Mus musculus: one gene and its partners. The protein of the gene in region 6 interacts with the protein of the main gene of each other region in a biochemical or structural test. Links are inferred from orthologs where the notes say so. Each region holds a gene or a part of one and is shown on either strand. Other genes may lie near its edges. The genes, in order: Nup98, Kpna1, Kpna2, Kpna3, Nup153, Kpnb1 and Kpna4.

What was found.
Region 1: the proteins of Kpnb1 (region 6) and Nup98 form a complex in vitro, tested with the Homo sapiens proteins (3 studies listed by BioGRID). The link is inferred for Mus musculus from reciprocal best matches to the Homo sapiens genes KPNB1 and NUP98.
Region 2: the proteins of Kpnb1 (region 6) and Kpna1 form a complex in vitro, tested with the Homo sapiens proteins (6 studies listed by BioGRID and IntAct, with this or other methods). The link is inferred for Mus musculus from reciprocal best matches to the Homo sapiens genes KPNB1 and KPNA1.
Region 3: the proteins of Kpnb1 (region 6) and Kpna2 form a complex in vitro, tested with the Homo sapiens proteins (6 studies listed by BioGRID and IntAct, with this or other methods). The link is inferred for Mus musculus from reciprocal best matches to the Homo sapiens genes KPNB1 and KPNA2.
Region 4: the proteins of Kpnb1 (region 6) and Kpna3 form a complex in vitro, tested with the Homo sapiens proteins (2 studies listed by BioGRID and IntAct, with this or other methods). The link is inferred for Mus musculus from reciprocal best matches to the Homo sapiens genes KPNB1 and KPNA3.
Region 5: the proteins of Kpnb1 (region 6) and Nup153 form a complex in vitro, tested with the Homo sapiens proteins (4 studies listed by BioGRID and IntAct, with this or other methods). The link is inferred for Mus musculus from reciprocal best matches to the Homo sapiens genes KPNB1 and NUP153.
Region 7: the proteins of Kpnb1 (region 6) and Kpna4 form a complex in vitro, tested with the Homo sapiens proteins (2 studies listed by BioGRID and IntAct, with this or other methods). The link is inferred for Mus musculus from reciprocal best matches to the Homo sapiens genes KPNB1 and KPNA4.

What each region holds. Positions count from the first base shown.
Region 1 is NC_000073.6:102,118,900-102,123,166, forward strand, and holds the end of Nup98 (nuclear pore complex protein Nup98-Nup96 isoform 1 precursor), read right to left. Parts: intron 3,164-4,267; exon of another isoform or gene 2,897-3,163; intron 1,972-2,896; coding exon 1,860-1,971; intron 1,773-1,859; coding exon 1,555-1,772; 3' UTR 501-1,554; downstream 1-500. UniProt on the Homo sapiens protein: Plays a role in the nuclear pore complex (NPC) assembly and/or maintenance. NUP98 and NUP96 are involved in the bidirectional transport across the NPC. May anchor NUP153 and TPR to the NPC.
Region 2 is NC_000082.6:35,982,107-35,986,162, forward strand, and holds the start of Kpna1 (importin subunit alpha-5), read left to right. Parts: upstream 1-1,256; 5' UTR 1,257-1,402; exon of another isoform or gene 1,403-1,554; intron 1,555-4,056. UniProt on the Homo sapiens protein: Functions in nuclear protein import as an adapter protein for nuclear receptor KPNB1. Binds specifically and directly to substrates containing either a simple or bipartite NLS motif.
Region 3 is NC_000077.6:106,996,726-107,000,940, forward strand, and holds the start of Kpna2 (importin subunit alpha-1), read right to left. Parts: upstream 2,801-4,215; 5' UTR 2,634-2,800; intron 611-2,633; 5' UTR 588-610; coding exon 513-587; intron 1-512.
Region 4 is NC_000080.6:61,370,448-61,373,947, forward strand, and holds part of Kpna3 (importin subunit alpha-4), read right to left. Parts: intron 2,640-3,500; coding exon 2,511-2,639; intron 529-2,510; coding exon 424-528; intron 327-423; coding exon 255-326; intron 99-254; coding exon 1-98. UniProt on the Homo sapiens protein: Functions in nuclear protein import as an adapter protein for nuclear receptor KPNB1. Binds specifically and directly to substrates containing either a simple or bipartite NLS motif.
Region 5 is NC_000079.6:46,682,850-46,686,349, reverse strand, and holds part of Nup153 (nuclear pore complex protein Nup153), read left to right. Parts: intron 1-2,113; coding exon 2,114-2,467; intron 2,468-3,080; coding exon 3,081-3,353; intron 3,354-3,500. UniProt on the Homo sapiens protein: Component of the nuclear pore complex (NPC), a complex required for the trafficking across the nuclear envelope. Functions as a scaffolding element in the nuclear phase of the NPC essential for normal nucleocytoplasmic transport of proteins and mRNAs.
Region 6 is NC_000077.6:97,185,093-97,189,200, reverse strand, and holds the start of Kpnb1 (importin subunit beta-1), read left to right. Parts: upstream 1-1,308; 5' UTR 1,309-1,615; coding exon 1,616-1,655; intron 1,656-1,753; coding exon 1,754-1,812; intron 1,813-4,091; coding exon 4,092-4,108.
Region 7 is NC_000069.6:69,089,093-69,092,592, reverse strand, and holds part of Kpna4 (importin subunit alpha-3), read left to right. Parts: intron 1-2,515; coding exon 2,516-2,685; intron 2,686-2,772; coding exon 2,773-2,817; intron 2,818-3,500. UniProt on the Homo sapiens protein: Functions in nuclear protein import as an adapter protein for nuclear receptor KPNB1. Binds specifically and directly to substrates containing either a simple or bipartite NLS motif.

The DNA of each region.
Region 1 (4,267 bases), on a different chromosome or scaffold from region 6:
GTTACTGATTGATAAATACTACACACAAATTTATGCACGTAGATTCTAAATTGAAGTTGTTCATCTGAATATACTTTTTGTTTTTCAAGGCAGGGTTTCTCTGTGTAGCCCTGGCTGTCCTGGAACTCACTTTGTAGTGGTGAATACATACAGGCAAACCACAATACACATAAAATATTAATAAATTCAGACAAAGACAAAACAAAACCAGAATGCTGGAAATTCAGAGTGGGAGTGATGGATATGATCAAAATACACGTAAACATGTATCCATGAGAGTGCTGCCAGGCACATACAGCGCACTGGGATTACAGATGTGTGCTAACAACACAGCTTGCTTTATCAGGAGTCTGAGAACTAAACTTGGATTGTCAGACTTGTGTGGTTAGTGCTCTGACCCTCTGAACTCACTCCTCAGCCCCTCGCTCGCTCTTTAACTTAGGATCGGTTTCTTCTCAGAGTCTCCAAAAACACAAAGAGAAAGTCAATACCACCAGGAATACTATAAACATTTAATTTTATTTTTTTAAGAAAGTACTTCAGAAAGAGGAAAATAATCTAGATCATTTATATATATATATATATTTTTTAATAAAAACCTTTACATAATCTTCATGCATAAAGACCAAGGGGTGGCCATATTGTCTGTGACAGCCCCAAATATCAGCTGTTTCAGGCTAGTACCTGGGACTTCCTATAGCCAGCAGCAATGTGGTAAAGGCCTTCTCTATTTGCCCCTAGGGCGCATCCAGACCTGTCTCAGTGACAGTTTTATCTTCTTGGAAATGTTCTTGGCTAGATGGGAGGGCAGGGAGGAACATCCTTGACATTCTTCATCTAAACTCCTCTGGCAAATCGAAGACGACGACGACTGATGATCAAGGGCCTGAGCGAATCTGGAGCTTCTCAGACTGGTTCTCGGTGGCTTGGGGCCACTGCGCATGATAGTATGGTGTCCAAAGGATACACAGGGCATGAGTAAAGGCCTTGAAGATCTCTACCTCTATGGCAGACAGCCCTTCTATCTTAAATTTACCAAAGAACAAGGTCCAACTCTCTTTTGACTCCAAAATCCACCGTTACTGAGAAATCTACTTGAGGGACAAATCTGTAAGGAAGGTCAGTCAGTCATATGCCAGATGTCTGTCAAACAGTCACGGTACAAAAGGATCGCAGTGGTGGAGGTTAGATGCTGGCATGGGGTGAGAGCCAGAACGCTGGGTGTGGAAAAGAATTCCCTAGGTTTTGGGAGGTTCTGCCAAAGAGGTTTTATTGACCATTTTTCAAAAGAAAAAAAAAAAAAAAAAAAAGAAAAAGAAAAAAAAAGGTCTTGAGGTTGATAAATGGAGACCTGTCTTCTTTGTTGTTGTTCCAGAAGCCCTTATGAGCTATTGTAGGCTATGCTCAGTATTAGGAAAACCCCTGAATAACTAGAAGATGCAGCAGAAAGGAATGGAGGATTCCCAGAGATTGGCAAAGTGTCAACTAAAACAGTGCTGGGGACTGTGGTGTGGCGAGTGTGAGTGGGCATGAGTGTGGTGGCAAGAGCCAAGCTCACTGGCTCCCAACAGTCAGTTCTCGAAGGTAGGACTGGGTAAGGCCTCGCAGTTCCTCCAAGGCGTAGTCCTCAGGCATGGGGAGCCTGCCAATGTGGGGAGCCAAAAGACGCAAAGGGACTCGCTGAGGGTCTGGCGTTGAGTTGGAGGTGGCATCAGGAGCATGCTGAAGGCTCAGCACTACCCGCAGTAAGTTGGCTACCCGCTTGGCCATATCTAGACAGAAAAAACAGAGTGAGTGCTGAGAACGTGGCACTGGTGTGGGGTGAAATAGCCATGAATGAATAAAGCCCACATGCTAACCTGATTGAGCCAGGCGATCCTTGGCATTGTAACACGGAATCTGTTCTATCCGATTGCACAGTGAAGTCACTTTGGTATGTAAGTGCTCTAGTTCATAACCTGAGCAATCCACCTACAGGAAAACAGAGAAACCAGTAAGGATAAAAGAAATTTCTCCCTCACATGCCTTTAATCTCAGCACTTCAACGCATCTCTGAGTGTGAGGCCAGCCTGGTCTATGAAATGAGTTCCAAGATAGCCAGGGCTATAAACAGAAACCCTGTCTCAAAAATCAAAAACAAAACAGTACCACCACCAAAACAAACAAACAAACAAACAAACAAACAAAACCCCACGTATACTTCAATCCCACTCATAGATGACACAAAATCTTAGGACATTGATAGGAGGGGAGAAAACCCACGCTACCAACATATCATCTAGTTGCTAAGGACAGGGCACTAACAGTAACATAAGGGAAAGAACACAGAGCCTGTGCTGCACAGGTCTTGAGATCATGATTCACAAACCACAAAGTCTTTACACAACACCAAAATACCGAGGATAAATCTATGACACTCAGAGACACACATGTAATAAGAGGTGACATTTAAACCAGCATTTATGTCTCTTTATTCTAAGGTCTAAAACAGTGCAGGATCTACTCATTTATACACTCTCCTGATCCATCCCTATGGTTCCAATTATAGTCATTGTATTGATTTCTAAGTCCTTAGTTCAAGCCCAATACAACAATCTTCCATTCCTGTGCCACACCCCTTGCTGAAGCTTGGACCATCATTACTTCTCACTCAAACACCTTAGGAGCTTCGCCACACTACTGTGTCACACTCTATAATCATTTGTTTTTTGAGATACTGTCTTGCTATGTAGCCCCAGCTGGCCTAGAACTCCCTCTGCACCCCAGGTTGACCCCAGAGTTGCCATTACCCTCTTGTTTACCATGGTAAATTACAGCCCTGTACCACCACACCAGGCTCAGTGACATTAAAGACAAACCTGATTTACTTTTCTCCCTCCACCGGCTCTTCCTACAGGCTACTCAGTGTCTGAATGCATGCCATGGAAGGACGCATCAAAGGAGGTCTCCTTTCACCATGTGAGTTTTGGAGATTGAACTCGGGTCATCAAGCTTGGCTACCAGCGCTCTAGACCTCACTTTGAAGAGGCCTTGCAGAATCCACTGATTTATCCCTAAACACAAACTACTCTAACCCTCTGCCATCTTGCTTTCATGAATCTTACAGACAAGAAAACCTTGAATTGTAAGCTGTGGAAATAAAGAAACTGGATGTCTTTTCAGAGCAGGGAGAGCTTCTTTAGGGAGACTATTTGGAAGCTGAGACCTTCCTAAAAACATGGCAGAGCTTTCCAGGTAAAGGAAACAGCCAAGTCCTGTGAGGTGTAAAGTGTTCATATGCAATGCATGCGGTAAAAGAGGAAAACAGCAAAACAGAACTGGGAAGGTAAAGATATTAATTTGTGCATGATGTTTTGTCTGCATGTGTGAGGGTAGAAGAGAACCCTGGATTAGATAATGTCTGTGAGCCACCATGTGGCTAAGACATCGAACCTCTGCAAGTGTAGCAAGTGATTTTAATTACTGAGCCTCTCCAGCCCCAGACTGGATTGTAAGTGAGGACTGATTGCGTTTCATTAGGTTATCAATATGGCTATTGAGCTACACTGTGACTGGCACAGAATCAACAATCTAAGGTAGATCTTTTCCTTTACTCTGTAGTATTGCTGGCTTGCTCACACGTTTTCCCCACTAAATCAGTACTTTAGCAAGGAAACAACATGCTGTTTACCCCTAAAGCTCCCAAATCCATAGTATTTAGCATTTTTTGGCTTCTTAATGACTATGTTGAATAAATGAACTGAATCAACTAGAAATGTTTCTTCAATGACTACTGAAGTATGCCACTATATGCCTGGCCTGGGGCTAGTGATCAGCAGTGGATGAAAACCCTGTTGGATAGATACATACTGGCTACGCACTGACTACTCTAGCCATCACTCCACACAGCCCTCCTGGGGAAAGGAGGACAGGGTTAACTAACTTAGTGACTTACGCAGTGTGGGAAACCTAATAGTCTGGCCTGAGAAGCTTGAGCGCTGAACTACTACACTCAACACAAAAGGTCTCCCCCAACTTAAAGAACATAGAAATGTGAAAAAAAATACAGCATGGTTGGTTTGACAGGTTCAAAAAATGTACCCTGTGTTTTGGGAGTGAGCGTGTAACTCACACTTTCAAGGGGACAAAGCAGCAGAGCCAGCCATTGAGATGGTTCAGCAGCAGGTAATGGTGCTTGCTGCCTGATGACTCCAGTCTGACTCCAGAAGAAAACCCACTTCCACAACTTGTCTAGGAACCTGCACATCTGTGTTGTGTATGTATAACC
Region 2 (4,056 bases), on a different chromosome or scaffold from region 6:
GAAATGAAGAGTAAAAAAATAAAATAATGACTGCCCTGAGAACATGGGCCCCCGCCCCCGGCCAGATGGCCTAATTCCCTGGAACTCTTGGGAAAAACAACCACAAAATGTTTCAATGTCCCAGGTGCCTTGAAGTAAATATCCGCCCCTAGACTTCCCCTGTTTCCTCTCCCATCCTCCCCCTAGGTTCTGGTTTTTACCTTTATAAACCTGCTGGAAAATAGGGTTGGGGTCAGACTCCTCTACCCCTGCGTGGTGTATGGGTCTCGACCTCAGCATGCTGGTTTGTGTGCCATTAAAAACCTCGTGTGTTTGCAGCAAGCGTGACTGTGGCTTTCTGGGCTCGCGATCCCTGAGACTTGAGTGAGGGTCTCCCTTCGGGGGTTCTACAGATTCATGTCCGGTGCTCCTCAGTATTCCTTTTAAACTGACTTGTTAAACCGTGTCCTGTGGTTGTGATTTTCCTGTGACCTCTACTTGCTGTCTTAAAGTGTTCCTTTGAAGCCACCGCTCTACTCCCCAGAAAGAAAAAAAAATTCTATCATGTAACGGTTAAGTCATTTCCCTAAATATTTTGTTTTAGCGTGCCTTCTCATAGCAACGCAAATATTTTCGCTGGAAATTGCCGTTTTTGAGATAGGGGTCTTTCTACGTAGTAATGCTGGTCTAGAATTCGCCATTCTCCTGCCTCAGACTTCCTAGAGCTGAAAATACAGGCGTGCGTTACCGTCATGCTAGGCTCAAAAAGCGATTTAATGTTATATGATACTAATAAATTACCGGGTAAGATGGGTGAGAACTGAAGAGAATACCCAGAAAGTTCCTGCAAACGGGTTGCATGTGAATTCTTTGAACGTGAGACACTGACGTATTTTGTAATACTCCCTCAGCCTCCAACCATGCCATCATTCATCCAATAAGCATGCTCGGCTGTGAGGTACCTACCATGTGAGAGGGAAGCTATATTGATGTGAGGGGGAATCCGTCCATTCTGGAAGAGCTTAGTAAGGACAAGTTTGTTTCCATAACTTCTATATGTCTGCGCTTTTACTGACTGCCAACCTGGTCCGCAGAGACCCACGCCCTGGCCGCCGCCTTTTCCCTGGCCGCCGCTAGCCTAGGGCGTCCACGCTCGGAGACTCCGCTTCCCGGCAGCCCCTGCGGCAGGCGGCGGAGAAGCGCACGCAGGCGCGCCGGCCGGCCCCCGCACGCAGGCGCAGTGCGCACGCCGGCTGAGCTGGGTCTCGCGGCTCTGTGAGCGGCAGCGGAGAGCGAGGCCTGGTGAGCGCCGCCGTGGTGCGCGCCGGCTGGTCAAGGTTGTGCGCAGAAGAGGCGCAGCGGGCGGGCCAAGAGCGAGCGTCTCCCTCTTCGTAGTGGCACCGGGACCGGTCGCCTGGAGCCGGTGAGTGGGGGCACCTCGCGGCCCCTCCCCCTCGGCGGGCGGCTCTGGGTCCCCCTCCGCGGACCCGAGGGAGGCCCCGGGGCGAAGGCGGACGCGGGCGGAAGCCGGAGCTGGCTCGGGCGCGCCGGGGACCGGACCCTCGCGTCGCTCCGGTGCGTCACGGGCCCGGCGGTCCTAACGGCCGCGCGGCGGCGGAGCGGGGTGGGGGTGGGGAACGCTGGTGCTCGCCGTGAGGAACGCCGGTCGGGGCGGGGCGGCGCGGCGCGGCGCGGCGGTGGAAGCGGCGTCGGGGACTGCGGGGCGCCGGGCGGCGGCGCGGAGTCTGCGCGCCGCGCTAGCTTGAGGGCGGGGGCGGGCGGCGCGGAGTGCGGTGGCTGAGGCCGAGGCGTGCGGGGCCGATCGGGGAGTTGGCAGGTTACCACCGGGGCCGGTGTTTGGAGGGAGGTGGGGGTGGAGACGGGAGGCTTGCAGTTTACAGATGTCATAACTACGCGGGCCTGGAGCTGCTGACGGGGGTGTGGTAATTATAGCAATGACAAGTTGGTCGGCTGTGTGAGCCGGCGATGCGAGGGAAACCGCCAAGCCTTAGCTGAGGCTCGCATTGGGAGCAGAAAACTGGAGGGTGACTGGGATCAGGGACATCGGCAAGAAAGAATGTGTGGGTTGAATGCAGCTGCTTCCAAACCACTTTTCAATGAAAAGTTTCACATGAATTGATTTTAAGGCTTAAACTTCGGCTTGGTAAATTACTATAGGAATCAGCCACCGAGAAATGCTTTTGAGATATTAAACACTATTGTCTGGCCTTTTCCCTCTTAAAAGAGTTCCGTCAAACACCTCCTTCCTCCTCCTCCTCCTCCTCCTCTTTTTTTTGTGTTTTTGTTTTTGTTTTTTTTCGAGACAGGGTTTCTCTGTGTAGCCCTGGCTGTCCTGGAACTCACTCTGTAGACCAGGCTGTCCTGGAACTCACTCTGTAGACCAGGCTGTCTTGGAACTCAGAAATTCACCTGCCTCTGCCTCCCAAGTGCTGGGATTAAAGGCGTGCGCCACCACTGCCCAGCCTGTTTTTTTTTGAGGTTGGGTTTTGTTTGGTAGGCTGGCTTTGAGCTTCTTATCCTGCCCTGGCCTTCGGGGTGGCAGGATTTCAGAGTCACACAGAAACTACACAGTCAGTTCAAAATTTCCATCAGTCTAGATATCAAAGTAGGTACTAACTAGTCCCAACCTTCTTGCCTGTAGGTTGCCTTTTCTTTGTTTTTGAGACAAGTCTCACTATTTAGTCATGGCTGGCCTAGCATTACATTGGTTGTCTTGAACTCAAAACACTCCTGCCTCAGCCTCTCAAGTGTTTGGGGTTACAGCATGCCTGCACGTGCGGGTGTTAGTATAAATTTGTATTCATGATGTGTACAACATTTACTTATTTATATACTTACTTTTAGATAGGGTCTCATTACATAGCTCTGGAATTCTTACATAGACCAGGCTGCCACTGAACTCAGAGATCCACCTGCCTCTGCTCTTGGAATTCTGAAATTAAAGACGTGTGTTGTCACACCTGACCTCCTTTCTCCATTTTAAAGGCTGAAAGGTCTAAATTTTGAAAGGAACTTGAGAATGGTTTAGCTTTTTAGTTTTGCTGAAATAACTTATTCTTGGCGGATTATCGTTTATGTGATATACAATTTTAAGATGGAGGCCTGAGAAGAAGTAAAGAAATAAAAGCAAATTTACAGCAACTTTGAAGCAGATATTAGCTTTTCCTAGCATAAATGAAAGCACGGAAGAACACAGTATTAGTTTTAAAAATAGCTTGTTTTGGGCTGGTGAGATGGGTCAGTGGGTAAGAGCACTGACTGCTCTTCCAAAGGCCTTGAGTTCAAATCTCAGCAACCACATGGTGGTTCACAACCACCTGTAATGAGGTCTGACACCGGTGCCTTTCTGGTGCGTCTGAAGTCAGCTACAGTGTACTTATGTATAGTAACAAATATTTTTAAAAAAAAGAATAGCTTGTTTCTTATAAATATTTTATTTCCTTTTTAAGTGTGTGAATGTTTGTAAGTGCATCATGATGGTGCCTGGTGCTTGCAGAGGCCATATGAGGGTGTTAGAGTCTCTAAAAGTGGAGTTGAAGATGGTTTGAGTTTGGGTACCAGGAACCAAACCTGTCTTCTGCAAGAACAGCAAGTGCTCTTAACAGCTGAACCATCTTTCTAGTCCAGAAACCTCTAGAAGAAGACTTTGTTCTAGGGAAAAAAATATTTGCTGATAAAAATGCATTGTAAAGCCCGGTGTGGTGGCGCACGCCTTTAGTCCCGGTACTTGGGAGGCAGAGGCAGGCGGATTTCTGAGTTCGAGGCCATCCTGGTCTGCAAAGTGAGTTCCAGGACAACCAGGGTTATACAGAGAAACCCTGTCTCAAAATGCATTGTAAGAGATAGTAGCTAGTTCCTATAATCCTAGCACAGACAGAGGCCAGAAGATCCTGAGTTTTGAAGCTAGCCTAGAACTTTACCCTGTCACAAAACAAGAAAGCAAAACCTGCAGGAGTATAGCATGCCAGAGGCCTGTAGTTAACCCTCCCAAAAGGTCTACAAAATCAGACCTAGAAAACCTATGGTCAAGTAAAGAGAATAAAGATATTACCTACA
Region 3 (4,215 bases), about 9.8 Mb from region 6:
CCCCCTTTTTGGTTTTTCAAGCCAATGTTTTTCTGTGTAGCTCTGGCTGTCCTGTAACTCATTTTGTAGACCAGACTGGCCTCAAACTCAGAGATCTACCTGCCTCTGCCTCCTAAGTGCTGAGATTAAAGGTGTTCAGCACCCCACCCAGTTGTGATTTTTTTTTTAAATCCTTCAAAGACCAACAAGAGATGGCTCAGCGAATAAAGGCACTTGCCACCAAGTCTGAGGCCTTCAATCTTTCAGAGCCATGTAGAGGAGGAAATTCCTCTACATGTACAACAGGTGCACATAAAAATCCTCCCCCCACATACACAAAAGTAAATAATAAATAAATGCAATTTTAAAAGTTTAAATACCTAAAACTAGAGATGAAGCTTGGGCACAGAAAAAAACCTACCTAGCCTGAGTGTGAAGCTCTAGGATTCAATCCCCAGTCCCTCAGAACTGTTGTTATATAAACATCCCCCTTCCCTTTACAAGCACGCAGGAAAGCAACAGAAGGTACTCACTGTGCTGTCCTTCCCCTTGTTCTTGAACCTGTTAAGTCGGGCAGCTGGTAAGTTAGCATTCTCGTTCGTGGACATGGCTGCAGGAACAAGGAGGAAAGCTAGGAGCCAAGGGAGGGTGAGAAGAAAAAAAAAGAAACAAAGAAAAAGTATTTTTAATAAGAATGCAACAGAAGCTGGGTAGAGTAATACACGCCTTTAATCCTAGCACTTGGGAGGCAGAGACAACCAGATCTCTATCAGTTTGAAGCCAGCCTGGTCTGTAGAGAGTTCCAGGCCAGCTAGGTCTACATAGAGAAACCCTATCTTAAGATGAAACAAACAGAAATATACAATAGCATGTTATAATCAACTAAATCTCAACTCCATTTCTATACTAGATTTAAAAAGCAGCAACGGTGGCACACGCCTTTAATCCCAGCACTTGGGAGGCAGAGGCAGGTGGATTTCTGAGTTCGAGGCCAGCCTGGTCTACAAAGTGAGTTCCAGGACAGGACAGCCAGGGCTATACAGAGAAACCCTGTCTCGAAAAACCAAAAACAAAAACCAAAAAAAAAAAAAAAAAAAACAAAAACAAAGATGACGACACAACACAGCCTGGCAGTGATGGCAAAGCACTCCAAGCACTCAGGAGGCAGAGGTAAAACGGATCTGAGTTTGTGGCCAGTCTAGTATACAGAGTGAATTACAGGACAGCCTGGACTACTCAGGAAACCCTGTCTCAAAAATATATAAATAAAATAAAAACAAAACAAAATCCTACAAGTTTTCATCATTATGGCTATAATACTAAGCCATAATTGCCCCTTACTACAAAGGCAACTTAACTGTCAATCAAAAAAAATTTTAAAAAAAGATAATTTAAAATTTCCACTAACCACAGTGAGCCCCGCAGTGGTGGCGCACTCCTTTAGTCCCAGCACTTGGGAGGCGGGAGGATTTCTGAGTTCGAGGCCAGCCTGGTCCACAGAGTTCCAGGACAGCCAGGGCTACACAGAGAAACCCTGCCTCGAAAAAACAAAAAGAAAGGAAGGAAGGAAGGAAATTAATTTTAAGACTTTTACCCAATATAGCTAAACTATTACCATTTGAGGATGTCATCAATACAGAAAAATTGAGATGTCTTACTGTTTTTATACACCTTCAAAATCCAATGGGTAGTTTAAGCACACGGGGCATCTCAACAGATTAGCGGCTTTTCAAACACTCAATAGTCTTAAGCCTCTAGCCAGCACGGTATTAAGTCAAGGATCTAAATTCTAGGCTCCATTAGTTAATAGAACACCAAGTAGGAGAACAATCTACGTCCTTTGTTTGTTTTATTTTTCGAGACAGGGTTTCTGTGTGTATCCCTGGCTGTCCTCGAACTCAAATCGGCCTGCCTCTGCCTCCCAAGTGCTGGGATTAAAGGCGTGCGCCAACAATGCCTGGCAACCATCTACGTCCTTAAGGCAATAAACGCAGCTCTCGTTTTCTGTTGATCGATGGCCAAAACGGATCCATACTAGTACCCTCTTGCAAGTTACATAAAGAATCGGTTCGTTCCATTATAGGGCCTTCCATCACATCATCGCTGTCAGCAATGGCATTAACGCCGCATCTTGCACACACTTCCAGAGAATGCATTCAGCCGGGATGACATCAGCTGTGATCAGTGGGGCTCGATAGAACCCAGGTGTGGTCGTCGCGAAGGGACAGGAACCCAAAGTACCCTGGTAAGCTAGTAGGTTTAACTGCTTTATGTCCGTCCTCGACCCTGACCCAGGTGATCCGGGTCAAGGGCTTAACTGGGGTGTCTTAACTGCCACCTTCATCCCCTGCCCAAAGCTGCGTCTCCTCCCCGGGGCAGAAGCATCAGGAAAGCGGCGGCACAGCCAGGTAGGTCCGCTCGACTGCGGCTGCCCTCCGGTCCCTCCACGCCGACCCGAGCCGCTCCCAGGCCTTCGCTGCCCTCCGCAGCGCCCGGCGTTGCCAACCCTGACCCCGGCGTGGCGAAACCAACCCGCCCCGAGGCCTGGTCGGAGCAGGGAGGCTCAGCTCCGGCCCGGGCGCGGCCTGCTCCCGCCCTCCGCCCCGCAGCCTTCCGTCCGGCCGTTACTGCTCAGGACCGGCTTCCGTTCCTACCTGTACAGCCGGCTCAGATTTCCACGAAAGGTGGTGCAGGACACTCAAGCTGCGGGTCGGCGGCTGTGGAAACGTCTGCTACCCTTCAGCCCTCAGATTTTGTGCCTCGTGCTGCCGGCCGGCGCGATTTAAATTTCCCGGTGACGCCGCGTTCCGATTGGCTGATTTGAGCCTAAGCTGCGCGTTCATTGGTAGGTTTGAAAAACACGTTAGGCGGGGGTGGGGGTGGGACGCAGACGCAGGTCGTAGGGGAAAAAAAAAAAAAAAGGTGGGGGTGGGGCGGTAAGCAGGGAAGCGTCGCGAGATGAGGGAGCGGCCGGGCAATCCCAGGGTGCCTTGCAGAAGGGTGACTCCAGATCTCAGCACACAGCATGGAGACCTGCGTTTCGTCTATGCTTAGATGGACACTGGGCCGTACCCTGTTTGCTTTCCCTGGGCTTGTCCTTAAACAAACACACGAAATTATTATTACACTTGTAAAAAAAGGCTTAGCTTGCGGTGATTGGCGCAGGCTTTTAATCCCAGCACTAGGAGTTCAAGGCAAACCTGGTTTATACAGCCAGGCCAACCAGGGCTAAATAGTGAGACCCTGTCTCAATCAACCAATCAGTCAATCAATCAATAAAAGAAAAGAGAAATATATTTACTTTAAAAAAATTTTACATCAGGAGCTGGTCACCGGGAGAACGTGGATCTGTGTGCCTCTTAACCATTAGTTGTATCACTATATTGTTTATAGTATTTGTTGATTATTTTATCTTTAGGCAATCATTAGTTGTATCGCTATATTATTGTTTGTGCTATTTACTGGTTATTTAATTTTTATCATGGGGAGTGGGATTGAGGCAGGGTCTCACATTAACAATAGAGCCCAGGCTAGCCTTGAACCTAATGCAATCCTTCCTCAACGTCAGTTCTGGGATTACAGACATGCCCCACTTTGTCCCGTGTGGTAAACTTTTAGATTACTTGGAAAATAAAGACAATGGAAGCCGGGCAGTGGTGGCGCACACCTTTAATCCCAGCATTCAGGAAGCAGAGGCAGGCGGATTTCTGAGTTCGAGGCCAGCATGGTCTACAGAGTGAGTTCCAGGACAGAAGCAAAAAAAAAAAAAAAAAAAGAAAAAGAAAAAGGACAATGGAAGCAGCAAATATGGTAACAATAATTTATTAGCCCGGTGGTGGTGGCGCACACCTTTAATCCCAGCACTTGGGAGGCAGAGGCAGGCGGATTTCTGAGTTCTCTGAGTTCGAAGCCAGCCTGGTCTACAGAGTAAGTTCCTGGACAGCCAGGGCTACACAGAGAAACCCTGTCTCGAAAAACAAAAACAAAAAACCAATAACTTATTAATACCTATTTTCTCCAAACCTTTAAAATTTTTTATTTATTTCTTTATTTTGCTCCCTTCCCCCAAACACACACACACACACACACACACACACACTTAATGGGTTTCTCTGTGTCTCTGTAGACCTGACTGAACTCCACAGACCTCAGAGTGCTGGGACTAAAGGCAGTGTGCCACCACTGCCTGCCTTCAAATACTTTAAAACTTGAGTAATTCTGAACACAGAATCACAA
Region 4 (3,500 bases), on a different chromosome or scaffold from region 6:
TTAAGACCATCTAGAACCACCTGCACCACTTGAGAATCTTTTACTGACAGTAAGTTACAGAATGGTGGTATTACGTTCTGCTGTACAAGGTATTCAACCTAGACAATACAAGAGAAGAAATATCTGTAATATTTGTTAATTCTTTTTCCTCTAACAACTGCAGTACCCAGACGAAAACATCTAGTAACTTACAAAAATAAGAAGGGCCCTTGCTGAAATTAGTAAAGTGACAAGTTAAATTTTCTCATACTCACTTGATCTTTTCTGCCACTTATCGTTAAGTTGCTAATTGCCCAAGCAGCTTCCTTTTGTGTTCCAAAGTCCCCCTAAAATGTAAAAACAATTTCGCAAAGTAAGCTCTTTATCAAAAACATGTGGGTTGTAAAAAATTAAGATAAATAATGAATTTATAATATAACTGACCTTAGCGAGCTGATGAATAATCATAGGGATTAACCCAGCATCTATTACAGCTTGAACTTGCTGCTGATTGCCTGCTGTTATATTGGAAAGGAACCATACTGCTTCCTGTAGTGAACAAAATATGGACCACTTTTATTGAAAAAGCTACTTTTAATGTTTTTATTTTTCTCTTTAATATTTTAAATATTTGATAACAAAATCTCCTGAGTAGTGTTAAAGTGACCAAATCTAAAAAGTGATCGGTTGTGCAAGACTGCCCTTTTAATTTTACTTACTATCGCTGTATGCGATTCTAGTTTTGGTATATAAGCAAAGGTTGTACACATCTGTGCCACAGTGCATATGTGCAGGTCAGACAAATTCTAACTTTTGAGATTTGGTTCTCTCCTTCCATCATGTGGCTCTAGAGATCTAACTCAGGTTGTCAGGTTTACAAGGCAAGCATTGTACCTGCTATTTAGCCAATTCAGACTTCCCATTTAAGTAAAGAGGAAGGAAGCTTCCAGTCGTGATACTCGTATGTCCACTAAACCCAGTGTTTATGTAATGATCTGTAAGCCTACTTTAAGCTAAGCATAATTCTAAGTAGATACAACAGCAAATAAAGCAGCCTCAAACCTTTCTCCACAGAGTTGTATTAGTTTATTTTGAAAGGCATGCCCAAAGATTGGAATTTCCAAATTCTTGTCAAAACTACTTCCACTACAAGATATTTATTTTAAAGCATTAGGTCAGGGGAGAAGGTTCGGTGGATAAGGTGCCTTCTACAAGAACATGAGGACCTGCGTTCAGGTACTCAGCACCTATGCGAGACACATGGTGACCAACAACTATAGCCACACAGCTTGAGAGAAAACGAAACCCTAATACACTGTAAAGTACAGCCATAAGGGAAAATAGTTTAAAGGGTCCTCAAAAAACTACCACACAGTTACCATGACTGCAGCAACTTCTAGCAACATCAGAGAGTAAACTAAATCAAAGACTTGAAAGTTACTGATGTGTCAGTGTTTTCTGCAACTTTATTCACAATAGCCAAGCAGTGGCAACAACCCCAGTGTCATTCAACAGGTAAATGAGAAAAATGTGGTATAACATCCAACAGAGTGACTTATTCGGCCATAAAAGCAAATCAGGTCAAGGCTTGCTTGGGAGGAGGCTGAGGTGGTGAAGTGCCTGCCATACGAGCATGAGCCCCGACGAGATCTCTAGCACCCATCTAGAACCTCGGCTCACTGACACATATCTGTAACCCAAGCACTGGTGAGGCACAGACACAAAAGATCTGTAGTGCTCAGGTCCAGTGAAAGACATTGCTTCAAAACACAAGGTGAGAGCATGATCTGTTCTCCAAAACCAGAGCCCAGCTCCTAGGAACACCTGGGCAGCTCAGTCACCTCCTGGACCTCCACCAGCTCAGGGAGGGAGGGGCTGTTTCTGACCTCTACTGGCACCTGCATTTATATGCACATGCCCACCCACCCATACACAGAATTAAAAATAATAAAAGTCATTTTTAAAAATACAATGTAGGGAGTAACTGAGGAAGATAACTGATGCTGACCTTGGTCCTTCCCCCTCACACACATAAACACACACACACAGCTCTAACATTCTATTAAATAAATGAACTTTAAAACAAGACATAAAACTACTTAAGTGTCTGCTGTCCAATTACAAATACATTTGTGTGTGTGTGTGTGTATTTAAAACTTTAAAGGAATACATTTTATGATCTTTGAAAGAAGACATGATACCCTAAGGTCTTTTCTATGTTGTAGAAGATTAAATTACATGTTTATTTTTTAAAAATACCAGTTATTTTTGTGGGAGGTTTTGTATGTATTTTTTGTATACTGGTTAATAACTTAATAATTACCAATTTTGCTCAACCTATTTAAACATAAAAAGTCCAAATATTCACTATTTTTATTCTGTGCTGAGAGTGGGACTAAAGGAAGCAGACAGTGATGAAACAGTAAAACCGTGACAAAGATCTCTCCCCTGGAGTGTCATGACTGAATAAACATCCTAATAGCAACGAGGAAACCGTCATAGAGAGGAGAAGCAACAGTGCATGCCTTTACCTTATTTATTTTCTCTTTTGGGTGTGACAAGAGGTTTGGGAAGTGGGACAGGACATCACAGTTGAGAACCACCTGGGTCTGCTCATCAGTGCCAGTCACTATGTTCCCAACCGCTCTGAGTGCTGCAGTCTGAAGGAGGAAGAAAACAGTTTTAAACATGTTTATAATGAAATTGTTGTTTCCGTCTTTTTCATTAACTCTTGAGAGACTGTGAGGAACAAAAAATTAACATTTATTCCATCCCTACAACAAAGCCATAAGCAAACCAAGCAATGGCTTTTAAACAGTAATTTCTTGTGGTATTTTTTTTTTAAGATTTATTTATTATTATACATGAGTACACTGTAGCTGACTTCAGATACAACAGAAGAGGGCATCAGATCTCATTACAGATGGTTGTGAGCCACCATGTGGTTGCTGGGATTTGAACTCAGGTCCTTTGGAAGAGCAGTCAGTGCTCCTACCCACTGAGCCATCTTGCCAGCCCCCAGTGGAAAATTATTGAACTCCACATAAAACTTTCTAGGAAAGTTTTTTAAATAGCGAAAACTAAAATTTATGAAGTCCCATCTTTAAAACAGTTCTTATTCATCACTGAACAGGTCCCATAGACTTTAATATTATTCTGAATTAGCATGCATTTGTGTCTACCACGTCATATACAGTCCTGCATTTAATATATTTAATGTCATTCTGGGTCAGCATTTATTTTTAGTTGGTAAAACATTTGGCAGAGAAGTATAATGAGCAGAATTTACAACAACCCCTAATCAGAGCACAGCAAAAGGTATGCAGTTAGGATACTATCCCAAAGGCAGACTGAAGACTTCAGTGAAAAGAAAAGGGACCTGAAACAGAGCAGGATGAAGGAGGAGCCTAAGCATTCAGCAGCAAGGATGGAGAAGGAACCCAGGAATCCAGCAGGACATGAAGGAGAATGCAGGCATCAGATATGCACCATGCTGTCCCTAACAGGATACTGAACACAGG
Region 5 (3,500 bases), on a different chromosome or scaffold from region 6:
GATGCATACTGTCAGGGAAAATAAGTTTTAGGTAAATTTTTATTTACAAATTATGGATAATGAGTCATCAAACATGTAAGGAACATTGGCAGTGAATATAATTCAATTCTAAGAAAACAGGATCATTTGAAAACTAAAATAGAGGTGGGGAACAACCTCATTAAAAAGAAGTTGGTTGACATAAAGCTGTTTGGTTGATGGAGTGGTGGGATGAGCATTGTCTGGTCTGATTATTGTAATGAGGTTTCCCAGAGCAGTGTCACCTGAAAAGTGCTTTTGAAATTGAATTCACTTAGATAATGAGAGTGGTATAGGGAAACATTAGAAAATTTAGAGGAAGATTTTCTGCATATAAAATAAGACACTGAGGCTGGAGAGATGGGCCCAGCAGTTATGCATACTGCTCTTTGAAGAGGACACAGGTTTTGAGTCCCAACACCTATTTTAGGTGGTTCACAACTGCCTATAATTCCAGCTCCAGGGGTATTTGATTCCTACACACATTCAGGTAAAAATTAAATTTAAAAAGACACTGGTTTCAAAATAAAAACGACTGAGCTGGGCATTAGTCCAGTGATAGAGAAAACATTCTGCAAGGCTTGTGCAAAGCCCTGGATTTGATCCTCAGTACCAAACAGTGCCCCATAAAATGAAATCATCTTGAACCATTTTGTAGCTAGAAAATTTTGATCAGACATAAAAGCAAATGTAGCTATTTTCAGACATGCAAAGTTTGTAACTTTGACACTTTTTTATTAAACACCTTTGAAGCACTCAGGGAACCCCCACATGGGAAATTCACATAACCATGAGTAGTTTTTTCATATTCGATGTTTACGTGTAAATTTGAAAACAACCTACAAAAAAAAAAAGAATTAAAACTGCCTATTATTTGAAATGGGGAGAAATGAAATATTGTAACCAGCTTTGATCATGAAATCTTATCACCTGTAGAAAGCAGTCGCCCATCCTGTCTAGTGTGTAGCTTCAGAGCTGAAATACTGAGAAAGTAGAAGTTTGATTCAGGTGGTATAAGAAATCAGAAGCTTTTCTTCAAGTCACCAATCAGTAGTTATACAGCATAAACAAGTCCTGTGTTTTCTAAGCTTTCTAATTATTTATCTAATTTTAAGACTTATTTATTTTATGTATGAGTACACTGAAGCTGTACAGATGGTTGTGGTTGCTGGGAATTGAATTCAGGACCTCTGCTTGCACTGGTCAGCTCCGCTTGCTCTGGCCCAAAGATTCATTCTATCTAAATACACTGTAGCTGTCTTTAGACATATCAGAATAGGGTGCCAGATCTCATTACTAATGGTTGTGAACCACCATGTGGTTGCTGGGATTTGAACTCAGGACCATTGGAAGAGCATTCATTGTGCTTAACCGCTGAGCCATCTCACTAGCCCAGCTTTCTAATTTATAATGGCTGCAGTGATAAGTGTAAGAGCATAGAAAAACCTCATTCCTGGGGGAAAACATTTCTTTTGTTCCTTTCATTTCAGTTATTAGTTTTTGTGGAGTTTGTCAAGCTCTAAGCTGCCTATGAAATTTGTAGGGGAAAGTAAACGCACAAGGAATGTGAGAAGAAAGGCAGGCACTAATCAATAACAGTCTAATAATAATGACAGTGACCACGAAGGGAAATACGTATAGATTAGGAGATTTAGGGTGCCACCAAGGTGACATTGTGTATTAATTATTAGCAGGAGTTAGCAAATACTCAAGTGCAGTCAGTATGATGAGATTTTGTTGATTTGTTCATGTGGATAAATGGAAGTCAGGGTGCTGCTATTGTAATATGACATAAACCACAGCACAGACAGACACGTACAAATGTACCCAGCTTCTACTATCTGATTTGGTTTCTGAATATAATACCAAGTTAGATTTGGATGTGAGACAGTGTATTTTACATTAAATTTATGCACATAGTAGCAGGACTTTTTATTTGAATGCTAAGGGTCTTTGAGTAAAGAGAAAATCTGTAGACCATAAAAGATAAGTACTTTTGACATTTCAAAGAATTGATGTTTACTTGATGAGACTATATTAGGTGATTTGTTCCTCCTTAAGGATTTATGTTTGTTTCTCAATCATTGTTTTGCAGATCAAGGTGCAGCAAAGCCAGTTTTTAGCTTCTTGAACAGCAGTTCCTCTAGTTCAAGTGCACCAGCCACTTCATCTAGTGGTGGCATATTTGGTAGTTCCACCTCTTCCTCCAACCCACCTGTGGCAGCCTTTGTGTTTGGACAGGCCAGCAATCCTGTCAGCAGCTCTGCCTTCGGTAACGCTGCTGAATCCAGTACATCTCAGTCTTTGCTATTTCCTCAAGAGAGCGAGCCAGCCACCACGTCCAGCACTGCCCCAGCTGCCTCTCCCTTTGTATTTGGGACAGGAGCCAGCAGTAATAGTGTGTCTTCTGGGTTCACTTTTGGGGCTACAACCACGTCAAGCTCTTCAGGTACTTCTGTGCTAGGAGAGAAAAATGGGGTTTGTAGTTGGATTGGTTCTGCTGAATTGCCAGCTGCAGTGTGCCTCCAATTCATGTAAGGTCTAAGGTCTCACCTGTGGAAAAATGGGCACTTCAGGTGGAATAGATCTAATTCTTAAGAACAGTATTTTCTAATTTTAGGAAGAATATATAACATTTCCAAGTTGCCTTTTTGAAATGTCAGATTTATAAGCGACCAGATAGTAATAGTGGTTGTATGGGATGTGTGTTTATACAGTGACTCAGAGCAAGTCTTTGAGATAAACCATTATAGAAAAAATTGTTGAGCCTAAGCTACTCAGTTCCAGGCCAGCCCCAGGAATACTATAAGACCTTGTCTGACAGGCACACCCCTCTTACTAGTAAATGATTGTTGGTTGCAAAGGGGGAAGGTTGTGTTAATTGAAGCTTTTGTTAAACCAGTGTATGTTTAGTAAACAGTGTCATTCATTGTTCTAATCTAATTGTAATCAAGGTAAGAGTGTGAAAGTAGCTTGAAATTTGTGGATTTACAAATGTTTCTCAAGGGTTATCTTATTATATATAAACCTTGATGTTGATTTAACTATTTCTTGGCCTCCAGGATCCTCCTTTGTATTTGGCACTGGACATTCAGCACCATCTGCCAGTCCAGCATTTGGTGCTAACCAGACTCCAACATTTGGACAAAGTCAAGGTGCCAGCCAGCCTAACCCGCCAAGCTTTGGCTCTATCTCGTCTTCAACAGCATTATTTTCTGCTGGTTCTCAGCCTGTACCACCACCTATATTTGGGACAGTGTCAAGCAGCAGCCAACCTCCTGTGTTTGGACAGCAGCCTAGTCAGTCTGCATTTGGCTCTGGGACAGCTAATGCCAGTAAGTTTGTATGATAGTTGACATCTATACTTACAGTCTGGTGTTTTAAAATAGTGTTTTTTCTTTGTACTTTGAAACTATGTGTGTGTTTTAATTTTTAATGTTTTATACTTAACAATGAATTGTGTTTCACATTTACGTATAAAC
Region 6 (4,108 bases):
GCTATGACTTTAAGTGTTTCAGAGAACACTAAATCCCAAGTTTCCAAAGTGTGGCTAGTGTAGGGCAATTTCTTTACACCTTAAAAACAATACAATTTACATGCTATTTTGACCCATATGCTCCTAATCCCCCCATGACTTGCAGCTGGGTATCCAAATGAGGGGAGGGGAATGTTAAGCAACTATATGCAACGTATTTTTATCTTGTTTGTTGTATTTGTTTTTTGTTTTTGAAACAAGATCTCAGACTGTAGTTCAGGCTTCGGGATACTGAGATGGCAGGTGTGTCGCTACAGCTCGTCAATGCACACGTTCTTTATATAATACTACACAGATCTTGTAAACGAAGTCTGGACATCAAAGCTTTATGGGAACTGCTAAGTGGTCTAAGGACGCGCCTCCGCGAAACTTTGTTAACAGTCCAGGGCCCCGACGGGGTCTCCAAGGGCAATTAGGGGCGCCTGAAGCCAGCTCTGCTCGAGTCTGGAATGGGCTGTGTGACCTTGGACAGGCTCCACTCTCTCTCTGGGCTTCAGTTTGCAAATCCGCACGTTGGAAGGTGAACCACGTGGTTCTCATGGTCCGGTTCCGCACAGAGCGCGGCAGCAAGCCGACCTCACCATGAAGGCAGCTTCCTGTGGGCGCGGCGCAGGACTTTAACGGTTCCCGTCCCCGCCCCCTCCGAGGCCCGCGAAAGGCTCGCTTTCCGTACACCGCGGCGAGTGACGGCTCTCCGTAGCGCGCAGTCCGAGCCACTCGCGCGCAGCTCCGCCCCACCCCGGAGGCGTCCCGTCGTGCTCCGCGCCAGACTCCTAAGAGCCTGGGCGCCTCCCGCCTTTCCGCGCGGCGGCGACCCCGAACTCCTCGCTTCAGTTCTCCCGGCGCCCCGTCCTATCAACGTCCAGGATCCCAGCCAATCCGACGCGCCTGGAGCCTTTACCTTCCGCCCACCCTTCTCCCCGCGCACAGCCGGGCTGAGCCCGAAGGCCTTTACCGGGCCAGCCCAATCAGCGGCGCGCTCTTACCTGCCCCACCCCAGAGCCCCTCCCCTCGACCAATAAGCACGCCCCATCCCGCTGCCCGCCCAGCCAACCGGACCTTGAAGCCCGCAGGCCAATGGGCGCGTGGCGGCCCTTCAACGCTAGCCGTCCGGCCAATCGGGGGTTCCGCGTGGCCCCGGCCGTAGCCAATCGCTGGGCAGCGCGGTGCCGCCGCGGAGAGGTCCGGCAAGGATATCCCTCCGCCTCCCTCCCTCGATCTCTCTCCCTCCCTGCGATCCGCCTCTCACTCACTCACTGCCGCCCTTCCTTTCTCCCTCCGCCGCCCGAGCAGCAGCCGCGCTCCGAGCTGCCCCCGGGGTCCCTCCCCCGCCGCCAGAGGAGCAGCTGCTGCCGCCTAGCACATTAGGAGGGCGGAAGGAAGGAAGGAGAGCGGGGAGGAAGGGGAGCCGGAGCGCCTGGCCAGAGGCAGCCGGTGAATGGGCTTGTGGTGACCCCCACCCCCCACCCCACCCTCCCTTCCCACCCGACCCCCAACCCCCATCCCCAGTCGGAGCCGCCGCCCGACAGGCCGGGCCGCCGTCTTGCGAGGAGTCCCCGCCGCCGTCACCTCCGCCATGGAGCTCATAACCATCCTCGAGAAGACCGTGTCTCCGGGTAGGACTCGGGGCCGGGGGGTCGGGCCGAGGTGACCGGGGTGGGGGAGGGGGTGGCCCCTCTGACCCCGCTGCCTCTCCCCCCATCTCTCCCGGCAGATCGGCTGGAGCTGGAAGCGGCGCAGAAGTTCCTCGAGCGTGCGGCCGTGGAGAATCTGGTGCGTGCCGCCCCGCCGCGCCCCATCCCGCCGCGTCCCCATCCCTGCGTGCGGCCCTTCCCGCCCTCCTGGAGGCCCAGGCCTCAGGAACCCACCCCGCCCCAGCTCGTCCCCCTACCCCCCCGCCCGGCCCAACCTAACCCCGCCATCGGGAAGCCGGTGGGTGTGTCCCGCCCCGAGCCCCGCGTCTGGCCAATAGCGAGGCGCGCCGGGGTGATCGCCGTCCAATCGCCACGCGGCCTGAGGGCGGCGGTGCTGCGGGAGGGAGAAAGAGGGAGGGAAGGGAAGTTAGGTTGCATGGCGCTGCGTGTTCAGCAAGGGTGGGGGTTGGGGAGCCGGGCCTAGGGGCCATGTGGAAGCTCTGCGCCCTGCCGCCTGCCTTGTACTGGCTGCGGCCGGCCTCTCCTTCCTGTCCCCTGGTTTTGAGGCAGTATGCAACTACTTCCCAGAGCCCTACCCTTCCCCAGCTCCCTTGGTCTGTGCTCATGGCCACGCCTGGCACCCGACCACCTCTGGACCCATTGCCACAATTTTTTTCTTTTTCTTGCCCATTATTATCCCATTCCTGGTCTAAGTGCACGAATGTTCTGTTTGGACTTAGGTTTTCAGAGAACTCATCTTTAAGGATCTCAGGCTGAGGCTCATTTCTGAGATTGAGCCTATTCTCTGATAAATCACAAATGTAACCCCGTTTTTCATACTTTCGGATTTAAGAAGTACATTTGAGAAAAGAAAAAGTGACTGACTTTTGTATAGGAAAATGTGGGATTATTGAAGCAGCCTATTGCCAGAATGTTTCTCCTCTCCTTTTTGGGGGAAGGGGAGGGAAGCGTGGATGATATGGAAAGTCTCTTTAAAGGTAGGAAGTTTTAAAAAGTGAAAAAAAACATTGTAACCCAATGTCCTTTGTGAGAGCTTTGCAAAATAGTAACATCCATACAGCGACATATCTGATTTGTACTGACCACTTTTGGTGGAGAGGTAAGCGACTTGTGTTAAGGTTTTTTTATCTCACACCTTTCCAAGCATTTCCTTTTTAGTGTAGACTGAGAATTCTGCTCATAGTATATTCTTGGTTTTGCTTTTGCTACTTTGCAAGAAGCCCTTTTTCCTGCTCCTAACTCTTCAGTGGCACAGAATAGAAATTGGAGAATTGTGTTCTGAGCCTACTGTAGAGTTTGCTTACATTGAGAATTATCTCCTGTGTTTGAAGAGTTTGCTAACACTAAAAAAAGTGTCTACTTTGGCCTTCTATAACATTCCTGATTGGACAGATTACGTACAGGCCCACCCCCCTGTGTGTGCCTCTGTATGCTCAGAAAGAGGAAGGGGGGTGTTATAGATGATTATCTTTTGGACCTGTATTTCAAAACATAGATTTTTGGATGATTCATTGTTAGTTCACATTAGGTCCAAAACACCATAGGCTCCCTGGTATGTTCTGCTTCTAAATGAAGCCAGTTTTTTTTTTTTTTTCCCCTCTCTCTTTTTTTTTTTTTTTTTTTTGGGCGGGGGGGAGTCAAGACAGGATTTCTCTATATAGCCCTGACTATCCTGGAACTCACTTTCTGTAGACCAGACTGGTCTCCCAACTCTGAAATCCACCTGCCTCTGCCTCCTAAGTGCTGGGATGAAACCAATTTCTCTTGACAATTCATCATTCACATTGTCATATTCTTTCAATTTCTGAAAACTAGTTAACACTTTGGCTTACAGATCCCTTTTGTTGAACATGCAGAACTAAAACACGGAGGACTCGGTCTTACATGTATGTTAGACTGGCACACATATGTTAGAAAGGATGCCTTACATGAGATCACAGGGCTGTCCTGATGTTTTTGAACAAGATTTTTTTTTTTTTAATATACTTTTCAAGAATTCTTTTCGTTGAGCTGATTTGCAGTACTGGACATTGTTGTACATGCTTGGAGAAAGTTGTCACTAGGATTGCCGTGTCACCAGGCATCGACTTGCCTTTAATTCTGGGGAGATATTTATTAGACTTGGGCTCAAAACATGTTCTTGATAGGAGGAATCTGTTTCTTCATATAGCAGGTGACTTGTCCTTGAAGTGGCTTTTGTTGCTTAGTCAGGCCTTAACTTTTTGAACCCAAGGAAACCTCTTCAATGTTGAGTCTAGGCAGGTACTATTTCAAAGAGAGATTTCCCAGTTTCCTGAGATACCTTGATTTGATCTAAATTTTGTGTGCTTCTCTAGTTTAGTACTTTATAAGCAAGGGGAAATTGCTAATATGCTTGCAAATGCACCTTCTCCACAGCCCACGTTCCTTGTGGA
Region 7 (3,500 bases), on a different chromosome or scaffold from region 6:
TTGGTAGTCAGCTCTTAGTTATTTAAAGGGTTATAAAATATATACATTATTACTAACTTTCCCCATCTATGAATAACAGTAGGCAAAAATTAAAATAATTTTTCTTTTTATAGCATACTTGAGCAGTCTAAAAACCTTGTATAAGAGATTAAAATTTAGTATATAATGTATATTTCTATTGTGAATTAACAGTAAGTATCTAATAGCCTAATTCATTATTGAACATTATCATGACCTTTGCCCTTATAAATAACTGTAGGAAAAATAATTGACACAATCTCAGTATTTTGAGCATTTTTTTAGACTAGAGGCATTTTTGTTTGCTTGTGGTAATCTGGCTGCCTGAAACTCATGGTCGTCTTACCTCAGCTGGAGAATCCCCACCCCAAGTGTGGGATTGCAAGACTATATACCGCCAAGTCTGTTTACTGGAGGCTGTATTAACTCAGACTTTAAAATTCAAAGAACTAATCCCAGTACCTAGGGAGGCTGAGGCAGGAGAATTGCTGTGAGTTCAAGACTAACCTGTACTACATAGCAAGATGCTGTCTGAAAACAAACAGAAAACTAGCTAGTGGTGGTTGCAGCACTCCTTCCTTTAATTCCAGCACTCAGGAGGCAGAGGCAGAGGCAGAGGCAGGTGGATCTCTGAAAGTTTTAGGTTTACAGAGCAAGTTCCAGAACAGCCAGAGCTACACAGAGAAACCCTGTCTCAAAAAAACAAAAACAACCCCCCAACCCCCAAACCAATACTGAAATCTGGCTTGGAAATCTTGGAAATCCCTTTTTTGGTGGTTTTTTTGTTTGTTTGTTTTTTGTTTTGTTTTTTGTTTGTTTGTTTGTTTGTTTTGATGAAGGAGGATTCTGGACATTCTTTAAAAATTAAGACACTTCACTTACTTTGTATATATGTATATGTGTGTGTTTACATGTATATTACAGCATATGTGTAAAGACTAGACACTTCCACGTGTGTTCTGAGTATTGAACTCAGAGTGTTAGCAAGCACCTTTACTCACCAAGCCATCTCAACAGCCCTAAACACTCATCACAGTCTTCATTGTTCTGACATGGAGGGTATTGTTTGTTTTGTCTTGCTATGTCTCCCTGACTGACTGTAGCCCATGTTTTACTGAACTCTGAGCCCTATTCCTTCCTCGGCCTTTTGAATTTAGAGGTTATAGGTATGTGTTTCCACAGTTATTTGCATGTAAGTGTTGTTAGCATTGTTATTGCCCCTATTAATTTTTGTGAGCAGCGTACTCTGTGAACTTACTAGTGTAGAGGACACTGCTTTTAGAAGTGACGTTGCATATCTGGGTGCCTCTTGTATCAAGCATCAAAGCTTTGTATAAAGCTGTTAAAAGTTCCCAACCTTCCTAATGCTCACCGTCATGTTGTGATGACCACTGTCTTAGTTAGGGGTTTTTCTGCTGTGAACAGACACCATGACCAAGACAACTCTTAGAACAACTTTTAATTGGGGTTGGCTTACAGGTTCAGAGGTTTAGTCCAATATCAAGATAGGAACATAGTAGCATCTAGGCAGGCATGGTACAGAAGAAGCTGAGAGTTCTACATCTTCATCTCAAGGCCACTAGAAGAAGACTGGCTCCCACATGGTTAGAAGGAGAGTCTCTTTGCCCACCCCACAGTGACACACTTCTTCCAGCAAGGCCACACCTCCTAATATTGCTACTCCCTGGGCCAGAGATATTCAAACCCCAATCATAAAGTTATTTTTGTTGCTACTTCATAACTGTAATATTGCTAATGTTAAGGATTGTAAATATCTGATATGCAGGATATCTGATATGTGACATCCCCCTCCTTAAAGATTTTGTGACCCCACTGTATCAAAGAGACATTATGGTAAATTATTATAATAAAGTAGAGAACCATTATGATATTTGTTTTTGTTTTTTTATTCTCTAATTACATGTTAGAATTATATACATCACCAGATATTATAGTGCAAGAAAGTTTTTTTTTTTCCCCTGTGGATTAGTTTTGCTTCTGATAATGGGTCTCATGTATCCTGGGCTAACTTTGAACTCACTGTGTAGCTAAACTTATCTCCATACTGACTCTACCTCCAAAACATTGTGATTAGACTTGTGCCAACACACTAGACCCTATTAAATCATGATGTATAAATTCTGCATTAATTTTCTCAATAGTTATTTAGACATATTGTATTAATGTAAAAGCTTGTTATACTGAACAAAGCATTGCGGTAATGATAACATGTCTGCTCAAAGTATTTGAAATAATCTTGGGCTTCTGCATCTTAGTGACACCCTGTAAGTGAGCAGCTTATAAAGACACATATTTGTTACATTGGTTCTCTTGGCTCAAAGACCTATAATGTCTACTTGTTAAATTCCTAGTATTTTTATATAAACTAAAAAAAATCTTATTAAAATGTTAGTAGCTGCATAATTGTACCCAGTGCTTTATGTTTTCTGAAAAAGCTTAGTGTTGATTTATCTTATTTAATTAATCCTTTCTACAGGTGATGGACCTCAGTGTAGAGATTATGTGATAAGTCTTGGAGTTGTAAAACCTCTGCTTTCATTCATAAGTCCATCTATTCCTATAACATTCTTAAGAAATGTTACCTGGGTTATGGTCAATTTATGTCGCCACAAAGACCCACCACCACCAATGGAGACAATTCAGGAGGTAAATAAAAGAAAAAAATAGTTAGATACCATTTTATGTTTTTTCTTTTAATCAGTATGTTTAAGTTGTACATATTTCTCTCCTCAGATTCTTCCAGCTCTTTGTGTATTAATTCATCACACAGATGTAAATGTGAGTAAATTCTTCTCGTATATTAATAAATGTATGTATGTGTGTATGTATATCTTCTGGACTCCCACTATGATATTGGACTGAAAACAGTGTGTAATTGTATTCTGTCATACTTTACCATTTCAAGAGTTAAGGTACTTATTTGTTATGTTTCCATTTCCTCTGTTTCTGTAGCTTCAGTGAGGAGTCAAACCTGTTACAAAGATGCAGTTAGTCATCTCCTCTCATCAGGATTGATTGTTCTTGACATTTATGCTTACTCCAGCTGCCATCTGGCTTTTGAGAATATATACACATGGTTGTGTTTTTGTATTTTGAAGCATAAGTGAATATTTAGCTTAAATACTAATTCGAGCGTGCATGCGTGTGTGTGTGTGTGTGTGTGTGTGTGCGTGTGCGTGTGCGTGTGCGTGCGTGTGTGTGCGCGCGCGCACATGTGTATGTCAAACTATGAAAACCTATTGTTCCTCAGTTCCATTTTTCAGTCTTATTTCTCCAGTTATAGCAAAGTTCTTTGATTAAATACAAATTTTAGTGTTTTGTTTTTTCAAAGATTTGCAAGACATTGGAAAGTATTCTAATATCCAACAACTTTGTTTTTCTTTCCACTTGTTTCCTAACTCTTGTTTATCTGCCACAAGATGAGCTTGTGCTTCAATGTTTACTTTTAATAGGTCTTGAAT